Linked DNA regions of Ovis aries. The protein of the gene in region 2 interacts with the protein of the main gene of each other region in a biochemical or structural test. Links are inferred from orthologs where the notes say so. Each region holds a gene or a part of one and is shown on either strand. Other genes may lie near its edges.

Region 1 (4,123 bases), on a different chromosome or scaffold from region 2:
GAAGAAAGCTGAGCACCGAAGAATTGATGCTTTTGAACTGTGGTGTTGGAGAAGACTCTTGAGAGTCCCTTGGACTGCAAGGAGATCCCACCAGTCCATTCTCAAGGAGATAAGCCCTGGGATTTCTTTGGAAGGAATGATGCTAAAGCTGAAACTCCAGTACTTTGGCCACCTCATGCAAAGAGTTGACTCATTGGAAAAGACTCTGATGCTGGGAGGGATTGGGGACAGGAGAAGGGGACGACAAAGGATGAGATGGCTGGATGGCATCACTGACTCGATGGAGGTGAGTTTGAGTGAACTCTGGGAGATGGTGATGGACAGGGGGGCCTGGTGTGCTACAATTCATGGGGTCGCAAAGAGTCGGACACGACTGAGCAACTGAACTGAACTGAACTGAACTGAGAGACTTCCCTGGTGGCTCAGACAGTAAAGCGTCTGCCTACAATGCAGGAGACCTGGATTCGATCCCTGGGTCAGGAAGATCTTGTGGAGAAGGAAACGGCAACCCACTCCAGTATTCTTGCTTGGAAAATCCCATGGACAGAGGAGCCTGGTAGGCTACAGTCCATGGGTCACAAAGAGTCTGATACAACTGAGTGACTTCTCTTCACTTCAAACATACCATATAAAGACATACATAAAATTACTGAGTGATAATTGTAATGGAAGGCCAACTCCCAAGACTCAGAAAGGGACAATCTGAGGCTGTATTCTCTCTTCTCTCCCCAAGCACTACTTCTTCTTCAAGCTCAAAGGAAAACTCAGAAAGTTTTCCAGTGGTTGTCTAGTTCCTTGGGTGATGAGGATCTGAGCCAGGTAGGAGGTTTGCCAGGCCCCGAGGACACTGAGAAGGCACAGAGTAAGGAGGGAGGAAAGAAAGGGGCCAGAAAGACTTGATATTTTGCAATGAGGCCAAAATTGAATGTGGGGACAGAGAGAAGCTGCCCCTTGCTCACCAAGGACCCCCATCCGAGCAATCAGACCCCTGGGAACAGGGTCATATTTTGGGAGGTGGCCAAGTACTGGGAAAAGACTCTGGGGCTTTGCAGGTGGAAGGAAAACCTGGATTTGAGTTTCAGATCTACCTTGTATGACCAAGAAGCCCTGGGGAAATTGTTTCCCATCAGCCTGTGAGATGGAGCTAGGGGTACTCCTCTGACAAATAGGACCTCAGAGGCCCACAGAACTTACTGCAGATGTCTTGGCCTCTGACACATACTTTGCCCCGGAGGTGCCCCCGCTGGGCTCTGGGAAAGAAAAATACTGGCCTGTCAGATAGTAAGCTGATTCCTCATAAAATCCTGTCATGTTATAAGCCCCATTGTACCAAGAAAGTACATAAAGAAGGACCGTAAAGAAGGCTGAGTGATGAAGAATTGATGCTTTCAAATTGTGGTGCTAGAGAAGACTCTTGAGTCTCTTGAACTGCAAGATTGTCAAATCAGTCAATTCTAAAGGAAATCAACCCTGAATAGTCATTGGCAAGATTATTGCTGAAGCTGAATCTTCAATACTTTGGCCACCTAATGGAAAGAACCAATTCATTGGAAAAGACTGTGATTCTGGGAAAGGTTGAAGGCAAAAGGATAAGAGGGAGGCAGAGGATGAGATGAGTAGATAGCATCACTGATGCAATGGATATGAATTTGAACAAACTCTGAGAGACAGTGGAGGACAGAGGAGCTTGGCATGCTGCAGTCCATGGGGTCGCAAAGAGATGAACATGACTCAGCAACTAAATAACAACAACCAAGAAAGCTGGCTGAGGCTCAGAGAGGTTAAGGATCCTGCCTGAGGCCATACCCATTGGCTAAGCTGAATTTTGAACCCAGGAAGTCTGATACTGTCACTGTAATCAAAGCAGGCCAGACCAGAGATCCACTGGCCTCCTCGTGGCAGATTAGGACACCAGAGGGACAGGGGGAGGTAGGGCTGACTGTCAACTGGGAGGGACCATCTGCTCCGTGAGGACAGACGTGGCCAGGGGACTGGACATCCCCAGCACTTGGCACAAGGCCTGGCATACAGGTGGCCCTTGGTGGCTGTCAAGTGAGTGTCCCTGGGGATGTATCCTGGGGTCTTAGATTCCTTTGGGAATCCAGGTCCTTTCTGGCCCAATAGCTTGAAGGCTGTGGGTTTTCATAGCCCATACCCTTGTCTTTTGGCCTGACCTTGAAACAAGTTTGAACGCATGTTATAGCCCAGATCATAGTAGTCTGAAAAGATGGAGGTAATTTCCGTGGGGCTCTGGATCCTGCTGGGCCATGAGCTTGCCCTCTTCTGGCCCTCCAAGGCTTCCCCAATGGCCTTTCGCGCCTAAGCAGGAAGGGAAGGAGGGAGAGAGAAGACAAAAGGAAGGGAAGCAAAGTGAATCCCACAGCTCCCCTCTAATTTCTCCTCCCTTGGAGCCTGCCCTCACCACTCCTCCCCACCCTAAGCCTGCAGCCTTCAACCAACTCCCAGTCCTGGGAGCTGGCATAGCTGAACGCCCTCACCCTCCCATACCACCTCAGCTTTCACATGGGCCTCAGGCATCAAGGAAGAAAATGATCATGAAAACTTCTCCCCACACTGAACGTGTGAATGTGTCAGTTGCTCAGTCTTGTCCAACTCTTTGCAATCCCATGGACTATAGCCCACCAGGCTCCTCTGTCCATGGGATTTTCCAGGCAAGAATACTGGAGTGGGTTGCCATTCCCTTCTCCAAGGGATCTTTCTGACCCAGGAATTAAACCCAGGTCTTCTGCATTGCAGGAGGATTCTTTACCATGTGAGCTACCAGGGAAGCCCTATGGAACAGCACCAGGGGACATGTTTATAAGGTGGTATTATTTCCACAATTCATAAAGAAGGAAACTGGGCCTCAGGGCAGGGACTCAATCCAGCATACAGCTAGAGAAGGAAGTCCTGGTTGGCCTCCTACAATGGTAGGAGTGGTTGAGCCCAGGCCTAGGAGCCAGGAACCTGGTTTGGGTCCCAACTCTGCCATATACCAGCTGCTAATTTGGGCAAGTCTCTGCTCCCCTCTGGGCCTCAGTTCCCCTACTCTTGAAATGAGGGTGGAGGTAGAACTGGGTGGTCTTTGAAATAACTTCCAGTTCTAATATTTGCTGGCCTGATGACACTTGTGATCTGGGTCACAGCTGGATTTAAACCAAAACAAAACACAGATCTCTTCATTTAAGCCCAAGACAATGATGGCCAGAGAGAGAAATGGCACGTTCCTTAAGCGAAGAAGGACAGAGAGAGATAATGACCATACTGTCAACCTCAAGCTGGGGCAAGATCCTCCAAGTGGAGTCTGGAGTTTAGGATTTTGACCTCCCAAACTAAGAGGTGCAAGGGTCACCCCACCTTAAGATGATAAAGTAGAAAGGGACCCACCCATAGCCTTTCTGACCCTGGCTCTTCTACTTGTTCTGTGACCCCAGGCAGATCATTTCACCTCTCTGAGCTCCAGATTTATCATCTGTTAAAAAAGATGGTGAAGGACAGGGGAGCCTGGTGTGCTGCAGTCCATGGGGTTGAAAAGAGTTGGACATGACTTAGCCACTGAACAACAGCAAAAAAAGAAACAATGACTAGCGCCCGGCCTGCTATATAATGTATCCATTATGAGGGCTGAGATGGTGACTGAAAATATGTCTCAAAATGCCTCAAAATATCTGTTTGACCAGAAGTGGCAGGTAGGCAGGTAAGTTTTCTCTCAACTTTCAGTTGATCAGCACAGAGTTCCTGCAATGATGTATCAAGTGGGGGGAAAAGGCCAGCATTGATTGGTGACGTCTGCCGTGAATTCAGGCTCTGTTATTTGCCAGCCTGATCTAGTCAGCCTCACTTGACGGATGTAGAGACTGGGTTCAGAGAGAAGAAGTAGCTGTACAAAGTCTCCCAGGATTCAGGGGCAAAGCCAGGATTCAAACCTAAATCTTCTGATTCCCAGTCAATCCTGTCCCCTTGAGGAGACTTAAATTAAAAGCATCTAATTCTAACATAAATCTTGTAAGTGCAAAATCATTATAGACCAGGGCTCCAGAATCTGCCAGACAGTTTGGATCCCGTTTAACTTGAGTTAATTTACTTAAGCCTGCTAAAGCTTGGGCTTCTAATCTGTAAAATG
Region 2 (4,620 bases):
CAGGTTTTTATGTCTCAGGCTTTGATCTGAGTACTAGGGCCGCTCCCTGAGGTGTGGAAGCCTGAGGGAGAGGTTTGGCAGGCCCACAAACCTGTAGGGACAAACTGAGTGTGAGGTTTGTATGTTTTCAACTGAATTTTTTATTCTTTTAGGACATTCACAAGGATAATTAAATCAGACCACAAAAGAAGTTGAATGTTAGCATTTTTCAAAATCGTGCGTATTCTAGTTGCCCCTTTAAGTGAAGTCGATCAGTCGTGTCTGACTCTTTGCGACCCCGCGGGCTGTAGCCTACCATGCTCCCCCGTCCATGGGATTCTCCAGGCAAGAATACTGGAGTGGGTTGCCATCTGCCCCTGTAACGCCCAGGGAATCTGGATACAATGGGAGTGAGTGGCAAACTCTAAAGACAATGCATTTGGTGAAAAGCTCGCTGAAAACGTAACTGCACGCTCCTATTTCCTTACATCTCCGATGCTTATGGGAGAAAAACTCGCCGGCCTCACAAGGTGGACGGGCAGGGTGAGCGGACCGCAGAGATCCCAGAGCCTCGGTCACCACCGTCCCCCCTGGGGTCCCCGGCCTTCCCCGGCCGCGATCACACTCATCCCACGCGGAAGGTCGCCCGCAGAGGCCGCCAGGAGAAGGCGGGTTCCGTCCCGGACTCGGGGTGGGGGAGACGGCGCCCGGGCGCCCGGCGCCGCCAGGCCGTCCCGGGCCGCGCCCCCGCGCCGCCCCGCACTCACACACCCGGCGCACACGCGCGCCCGCTCGAAGGCGGGGGCTTCTCTAAGGGCGGAGGAACCGTGCGGACGCCTCGGCGCCTCTTCCTTTTGTGGCTTTCGCCCGCTCCCCCGGCCCGGGCGCCGGCCTGCGCCCCCCCCGAACCCTCCAGCCCGAGGGCGCGGCGGGAGACGCAGGGCAGTGCGCCGCGGAGGGCGGGGGAGACGCTTCCCGCGCGGGGCCTGGGCGGCGGGGCTGGGACTCCGCGCCGGCTGCGGCGGGGCAGCGCTTACCTGCGGGCGGCGGCGGCGGGCAGGGCAGCGGGCGCCTGGGGCGCGGGCTGCGCGGGGCCGGGCGGACGGCGGCGCTCGGGGCCGGGCCGCCCCTCTGCCCTCCTCCGAGGAGGCTCCGGCCGTGCGCCGGGGGCCGGGCCGGGCCAGACTCACTTCCTCAATCCTGAGCGGGGCGGGCGGCGCGCGGGGCGAGGGGCGGCCTCCGAGAGGCCTCCGCAGAGCGCGCGCGGGAAGCCCCTGCGCTCGCCCGCCGGCTTCCCTCACCGAGACCCCGGAGGCCACGGGGTCCGCAGGCGCCCCCAGCGCCGGTCTCCTCCGGGTCTGGGTCCCCTGCCCTCCGGCAGGGCAGTCTCAGCGGCGAGATTGGTCGGTTTTCGGCGCAGCCCAGCTTTCCCTGCCCCTCTGTTCCGCTCAGCAGCGAAATCCGCTGGTGAACTCCGGACTCGTCTATGGAGGCAGTAAATACTCAAAAGACAGGAATATTCGTTTGTGTACAACTTTTTCTACAGCAGACTAGACGTATGAAATGTAAAACTTTAATAGTTTGCAAACCTCAACCCTTCCACCACATGGATTTACTAAATTACGGATACACACAAAGATATCACTGGTGAATCATTTTAAATTGTCTGGGTCTATTTTGGGGGTGGCGGTGGTAGATAAACCTGCTGGAGTGTAGGCAATTTCTATTTCAACCTAATAAAAAGATGTACCCACAATTAAGGCCATTGTCCAAAGACAGATCATAATGATGTACGTCCATGCGGGCGGGCAGGCTTTAGATTGGGCTCCACGTGCCCGCCAGGGAAAGAGAAGACTTCTTCGGAAAAAGCGGATGGTCCTGCACCCTGGCAGGATCTGCGCACCCCAGGTTCCTCCCGTGTTCGGCTATGACTGGAACATTCCCAGGGTTTATCCCAAGGCTCAGAGACAAATCGCCAGCATCCTCACTGCCGTTTCACAAAAGCCGGCCAGCAGCAGCCAGCTCCCGCCTCCACGACCTCGCAGACACTTTGAGCGGTCACCATGGACGAGTTCCTTGGGTCCCTGTTCGAAGAGGGGACCACGGGGCAGCTGAGGTTTGCGCCCAAGAGGCTGCCCCGTCGGCTCTCCCGGGCCACACGCCCCTCCAAAAGGGAGGGTGCAGTTCTGCAACCCTGCCTTCACCACCGCGGTTCTAATTCCAATATGCAAAAGGCGGCAGTTTGGTCGCTAACGAAAAGTCCCTAATAATTTGCAGGGCGTGGCGTCCACGGTGCCGAGTGAGCCTGGCGATCGCGGCGCGGCGCCCACCCCCACCCCTAGGAGCCCGGTCCTGCCATCTAGCGGGACCGCGAGGAAGTGCGCGCCGGGTGACCGGCGGACCAGGGGGCAGACGCGGCCCACGGAGGTGAGGACAAGCCCTTTTTAAATGAGCTTGCCATCCGCTTAGAAATGTGTCCAAGGTAGAAATAACTTGTCACATGGGTGGCCTGTTTCGAGCTGGCTGTATCCCAGCATTTAACCTTACCCTTGGCATGCGTTACTTACAGGTTTGCGTGAGGCGATTGTTACAGGTCAGTTAAGATTTCTTTATGCTTCTTAACCCCCGCTGACCAACGTCTCATGTTGGAATGCTGGTAAAGAATCCACCTGCAGCGCAGGATTCCTGAGTTCTATCCCTGGATGGGGAAGATCCCCTGGAGAGGGGACCGGCTACCCACTCCAGTGATCTGGCCTGGAGAAAAAGACTGGGACACGACTGAGTCACTTTCGCTTTCGCTTTCTAAGTTTTCTCCTAAGTAGGTAATGGAGGCAGGGAGGGGTTTCCCTGGTGACTCAGACGGTAAAGAATCCGCTTGCAATGCGGGAGACCTGGGTTCCATTGCTGGGTTGGGAAGATCCCCTGGAGAAGGGAGCAGCTACCACCCCAGTATTCTGGCCTGGAGGCAAAGAGTCGGTCAGGACCAAGCGACTTTCACTTTCACGGTGGGGTCCATTGGAAGCTACCTCCCTGAGCTACCCTTTCTGCCTTCTGAAGGTGTAGTAGTTTTTTTCCTTTAATTGAAGGATAATTGCTTTACAACATTCAGTTGGGTTCTGCCACGCATCAGCATGAATCAGCTGTATACACACATCCCCTCCCTCTTGAACCTCCCTCCACCCTCCCACCCATTCCCACCCCTCTAGGTTGTCACAGACCAAAGGGCCTGAGCTCCCTGCCAATTCCCACTGGCTATTCATTTTGCATATGTAAAGTATATGTTTCAATGCTACTCTCCCAATTCTCTCCTTTCCCAGCTGTGTCCACAAGTCTGTTCTCTATGCGTCTCCATTGCTGCCCTACAAACAGCTTCATCAGCACCATACTTTTTGTTGTCCTTCAGTCTCTCAGTCGTGTCTGATTCTTTGTGAGCCCATGGACTGCAGCACGGCAAGCTTTCCTGCCCTTCACCATCTTCCAGAGTCTGCTCAAACTCATGCCCATCGAGTTGGTGATGCCATCCAACCATCTCATCCTCTTTGTCCCCTTCTCCTCCTGCCTTCAACCTTTCCCAGCATCCTTCCCACCATCCTTCTAGATTTCATATATACGCATTAATATATGATATTTGTTTTTCTCTTTCTGACTTACTTTACTCTGTATAATAGGCCCTCAGTTTCTAGTCACCTTCCTTCAGCTGGGTATTCAGTTTCCACTGATATTTCTCCTGGGACACTTAAAAAATGTCCCTTATTATCAAGACATGATAGGAGCAAGAACGTCAAAAGGGCTCAGCCTGCCATTGGGAGAAGCTTGGGTGTTTCAAAGGGTCCACTTTTAGAGAATGTCCCAACTTACTGTCCCCACCCCAAAAGGCACTGCACACACACATGCACACACACACACCATAGCCACAGTGTATGTCCTCAAAATGGTTCCTCTTGTGGTAATGACAAACAAAGGAATTGCTGTTTTCCTTGAATGTGTTGCTCACATTTTGGTTGGGAAATGGAAGGTTTCTAAATGCATTCAAACATACACAAGTGCATAAATTAAGATGGATCTTATCCAAGGCATGGTTGAACACGGTGGACCTAACCAAGTACAGAAATATTCTTCATCTAACCTCAGTGTCAGTGTACAACTCAGTGATTGAGGCTTACTGGTCTGAAGCCTTAGAAACTCTGGGTAATTTAGACACAAACACAGAGATCCTCATGGAGAAAAGGGACAGACATGAACACTTATGCGCACAGTTGCAGGACGCAGTGTTTCCCTGAGTCCCCAAGCAACCTTCCCACATTCTGCACACTCACATCCTCATCACTTGGTGATAAAGAGGGACTTGGTAAGCTCAATGACAGCTTTAACTTCACCAACTAAGATGCAGAGCCTTTGAGGCCAAGCTTGCTGCCTCATCCACCCCCAAAACCGTCAAAGTGAGTTTCACACTCAAGCTAAGCACAGGACTTCATTGACTGAGCAAATGTAATTTTATCCTTAAGTGATTGAAACCACTTTCTTGTAAGTCACTTTGTACCAAAGTTCTAAGGAAAAGAAAGGTCAGTCACAGAAAAAGGGGTCTTCTGGTCTTTAAATGAAAAAACAGTTTTTTTCAAATATCTGATTTTATTTTATAGT
Region 3 (4,520 bases), on a different chromosome or scaffold from region 2:
AATTATATTTACCAGTTAAGAATAAAACTAACTAAAGCACAAACTGGAAAACAAAACTAGAGCAAGGTGTCAAGTGGGTAATAAAGCAATGAAAACAAAACTAACAAGTATTTTGAGAGGAAAGAAAAGAAAGAATAGATATGCAAAGTTAAATAGAGGTATATTAGGAAAGATTAATTGCAAGAGGAAAGAACAGTAGGAAAGGCAAACAAAGGAATAAATGTAGAAAAAAATGTTAAAAAATTTTAAGTTAAAATTATAAAAAAAAGAGAAAAGAAAAGAAAGAAGAAAGAAAAAAAGCATAACTCAACAGAATTGCAAAAGCCCAATGCAAAGGCAGAGGTTTGTAACAATAATAAAAATAAAAGTGTGATTGAATATACACATATATACCCATAAGCAAAATGAAAACAGTCCAACAAAAATAAAATGCAGCAGATTGACCCAGCAGACAAAGGAAACCAAAAATTATCTCTACCAGAACAAAACTATCTAAAGAACAAACTGGAAAACAAAACTAAAGCGAGGTGCCAATTGGGGAATGAAGCAATGAAAACTAACAAATATGTTGAGAGGAAAAGAGAGAAAGAATAGATATGCAAGGCTAAACAGAGGCAGGTAAAGATGATTTATATACATTCAAGATGAACTGCAAGGAAAAAAGAACAGTAGGAAAAGCCAGCAAAGGAATAAATGTAGGAAAAATAATAATAGGTTTAAAAAATCTTAAAAAGAGAAAAGAAAAAAAAACTCTCCAGAACTGCAAAAGCCCAATGTAGAGGCAGAGGTTTATACAACAATAAAAAATGTGACTGAGAAGAAAAAGAATAAAAAAGCTCAAAAGCTCAATTAGATTTCATAGTGCCAATAAAATTGACAACTACAAAAGAGGGGAGAAAAAAGAAAAAAAATAGACTCTACAGAACAAGTCAAAACATAAGAATAATAAATGTTTTTCTTGAGGCACTGCTGTCAGAGTCCTTTCCCTCCCTGGGAGTGACAGTCCACCTCACCTGCCTAGGATGCCCTCCAACACTGTGCTGATCCCTGGACCTGCTGTGGGCTCAGATGCTAATCTGGTCTTACTCTGTGTTCCTGCCTCCAATGTCCACAGCTGTCAGAACTAGTACGTTTTCTTTTGTGGGAGCTCTCAATGACCTTTTATATATTCCATAGATAGAGTCTACATAGTTGATCCTGTGGATTTAATCTGCAGCTGTACAGCTGCTGGGAAGGTTTTGGGTCTTCTTCCTTAGCCACATTGCCCCTGGGTTTCCATTGTGGTTTTATTCCCACCTCTGCATGTGGGTCGTCCACTGGGGTTTACTCCTGAGGCTGCCCTGGAGGACTTGGGTTTGCCCTGTGAGGGCCACGTGTGGAGGTGGTGCATGGGTCACAGGGGTCCTGGCAGCACCAGGTACTCGGGAGTTGGCGGCTAGGGCAGCAGGGAATATTGTGCTCTAGAAGGGTATGGCAACCCGCCCTGGCCAATACACTCCAGTATTCTTGCGTGGAGAACCCCTCCATGACAGAGAAGCCTGGCAGGCCACAGTCTACAGAGTTGCAGAGTTGGACACTACCAAAGCAACCCTGTGCGGAAAGACACAAGGCTTTTGTGCCTGTGGCAGCTCTGCCCCCGTGAGAGTTGAGCGTGAAGGTGGCGCAGCTGCTTGACTTGGGGGACCCTGGTGGCACCAGTATGCAGGGGCACGGACTGCCTCTGTCACAGGAGTTATGGCCCTATCAGGGTCTTTTTTCAAGCCTCTTGTAGCTGGCGATCAGAAGGCTTCTTTGGCCAGTCTTTCTCTATAGCTCTGCTCCTTCAGGCACTTAGAGGGCTCCCTTGCCTGGGGTCCTTCTCTGTTGTTCGGGGCATCAGGCACATAGAGGGGCCCCCCCTGGCTGGGGCCCTACTCTATAGACTGGTGCATCAGGCACTTAAAGGGGCACCCTGGGTGGGATCCTGCTCTCTAGTTCAGTGCATCAGGCGTTTGACGGGCCAGCCTCTCTTGTTCAGCGGACAGTGCTGGCCTGTGGCAGGAGAGAGGCTATGGTGATGGCTGCACCTCCTTCACGGGACTCAGCAGTATCGCCCTGCTTCCATGGCTGCCTGGCTTTCCTCCGCAGGCGTTTCCCACCACAGTCTCTTCCCTCACATCCCCTCAACCCGTCTCTCTGCAGTCAGCAGCAGCCCTTGCCCTGGGATTGCTCCAGCTCCCAGCCGCTGCGCCTTCCAGGGGATCTATGGCCCTGTCTGGGGGATGTATGGCTGCAGCAAGGACTGTCTGAGTCTCATTCCGTTTAGGCTGCCACAGATCAGCTGTTTCACTCTCAGCCTTAAATGTTTCTCCTCTGACTCAGACAGTTGCCCCAGTGTGGGGATCAGACCCGTGTTGCAGTTCCCCCACCCACTTAGGGCAGGCCCTGTCCTAACTAACACTCCTGTTTTTCCTTCTAGTTCCTTCATTCTACTGAGTTTTGCGTGGGTCTGTATATTCTTTACACTGGTCAGGGACTCCTGTCCGCTCTCAGCTGGTGTTCTGCATGCACTTCTGTGTCTGAAGGTGTATTCCTGATGTATCTGTGGAGAGAGAGAGACTCCACGTCCACCTGCTCATCTGCCATCTTATTCCTAGGTTTAATTCTTGAAGAACCCTTTGCTTGGGATGTATAGTCTAAATGCAATGCCATCTAGAAACTAAAATACACATTAATTAATAAATTGTGTGTTTGAAAATTTTTGGATTTCTTTTGGGAGAGCTGTTTTAAAATAATTTTTTTCAAGGTAAGTCTGGTACCAGGTACTTAAAACTAACCAAAGAAAGTGTTGCTTAACAAAGATTTTTGAAGACTTGTTTGAACAACTAGAGAATGGTTTAGAATGAGATTGTGGGGGGAGGGTTTAAGATCTTGTAAGAAAATATCTTTACTTTTTCCCTAGCCATGTTGTTTACGCTTTAAATCACCCTACAATAAAGAAAAGTTTTGCTTAGAACAAGTCAATCTCAGCTCAGTTCTTGCCTCAATTTAGAACTACCAAGTCAGAGAATAGTTACATGATCCTATACCTCCCCCCAAAAAGGAAGCATTATCTAAAAGCATGTGGATTTTTTTTTTTAAAGTGATGGAGATCAGAGAGTCAGGACATCTGAAGGCCAGATCCAAGAAGGGAAAAAAGTTCTGAAAATAAAGACAAAAATGGTAAGATACGGAGTAGCTCTCCATCCCTTTTCCCTCATCCCTAAAGAAGGTTTTTTCCCCTACACTCTTTCTAAAAGAAAGAAATTCTAAAATACTGATTTGTCTTAAATAACTCTTTTAGGCTGATAAAGAGAATGTCGGTAGACCTATCGGGATCAAAAATAATTTAACAGTGGAAAAAAACTGTATTCCTTTAAAACCTTCTAATGAATTAACCAATTCAACCATAGCCACGGATCCACCTAATTCTGAGGATAATAATCAAACTCTGCCATCGTTACCAGTTAAAGATGACCCGCAAGGTCAACATAGAACATTAAGCCAAACATTTCACCTTAAAAACAACAGTAAAAAAAACACAGTGATTACAGAAAAACCAAAGCACGATGCTAACGTGCCCAAGAAACCTGTGCTTGGAGCATATCGTGGCCAAATTGTCCAGTCTAAGATTAATTCCTTTAGAAAACCACTGCAAGTCAAAGATGAGAGTTCTGCAACAACCAAGAAACTTCCAGCGACTGTCTCTAAAGCCACCAAGCCTCAGCCTGGAGACGTCAGCAGCGTAACAGTGAAAAGTGATAGAGCCTCACATATGACATCTGCCACTAAATTTGCAAGCACTACATCTCAGATCCGACACCTTGTGCGACCTCCTATTAGAAGTCAGCACAATAAAGCCCAGGACGCCATGAAACCGGGCAGCAGCAGGATGTCAGCCAATGTCACAGTTCGGAAAGGGCCTCGAGAGAAGGAGTTAAATACAGTTTTGTCTGGCATCAAGACCAGTTCTTCGCAGGACATGAAAGGAGATAAGACACTATCAAAAAGCATGGCAGCTGGAATGGCGGCCAGGCCTGCTTCATCTGCTAATACTAAACTGATAGAAAAGTCAAAGAGTGCTGAGCAGCGCAGACACACTACGGTGAAAGCAGCTGTTGACAGTAGATGGACTCAGCCCAGAGAAACTGCGGAGGAGAGAAAGTAAGTAGATGTGATTTTATTAGCGCAATTTTCAGTAGAGTACCATTTGTAAGTTCAGCTTATCATTTCCTTGATATTAGAGTATTCAAGTCTTTTGTACATGGATTCTCTTCATATGCAGATCAGTCTAAGCCTATTTATATTGTGGAACAGTATATCCTAAGTTACTATGCTTGAGTATGTTTAATGGGGCTTCCCTGGTGGCTCAGTGGTAAAGAATCCACCTGTGATGCAGAAGACACAGGTTTGATCCCTGGGTTGGGAAGAAACCCTGCAGAAGGAAATGGCAACCCACTCCAGTATTCTTGCCAGGATAATCCCATGGACAGAGGAGCCTG

Evidence for each region.
Region 1: the proteins of LRRK1 (region 2) and CIMIP4 form a complex in vitro, tested with the Homo sapiens proteins (2 studies listed by BioGRID and IntAct, with this or other methods). The link is inferred for Ovis aries from reciprocal best matches to the Homo sapiens genes LRRK1 and CIMIP4.
Region 3: the proteins of LRRK1 (region 2) and CKAP2 form a complex in vitro, tested with the Homo sapiens proteins (2 studies listed by BioGRID and IntAct, with this or other methods). The link is inferred for Ovis aries from reciprocal best matches to the Homo sapiens genes LRRK1 and CKAP2.

The regions. Positions count from the first base shown.
Region 1 is NC_056056.1:181,048,061-181,052,183, forward strand, and holds the end of CIMIP4 (ciliary microtubule inner protein 4), read right to left. Parts: intron 2,320-4,123; coding exon 2,156-2,319; intron 848-2,155; coding exon 736-847; downstream 1-735.
Region 2 is NC_056071.1:5,010,234-5,014,853, forward strand, and holds the start of LRRK1 (leucine-rich repeat serine/threonine-protein kinase 1), read right to left. Parts: upstream 2,755-4,620; 5' UTR 2,547-2,754; intron 2,207-2,546; exon of another isoform or gene 1,017-2,206; intron 92-1,016; exon of another isoform or gene 1-91.
Region 3 is NC_056063.1:21,853,834-21,858,353, reverse strand, and holds part of CKAP2 (cytoskeleton-associated protein 2), read left to right. Parts: intron 1-3,122; coding exon 3,123-3,201; intron 3,202-3,322; coding exon 3,323-4,182; intron 4,183-4,520. UniProt on the Homo sapiens protein: Possesses microtubule stabilizing properties. Involved in regulating aneuploidy, cell cycling, and cell death in a p53/TP53-dependent manner.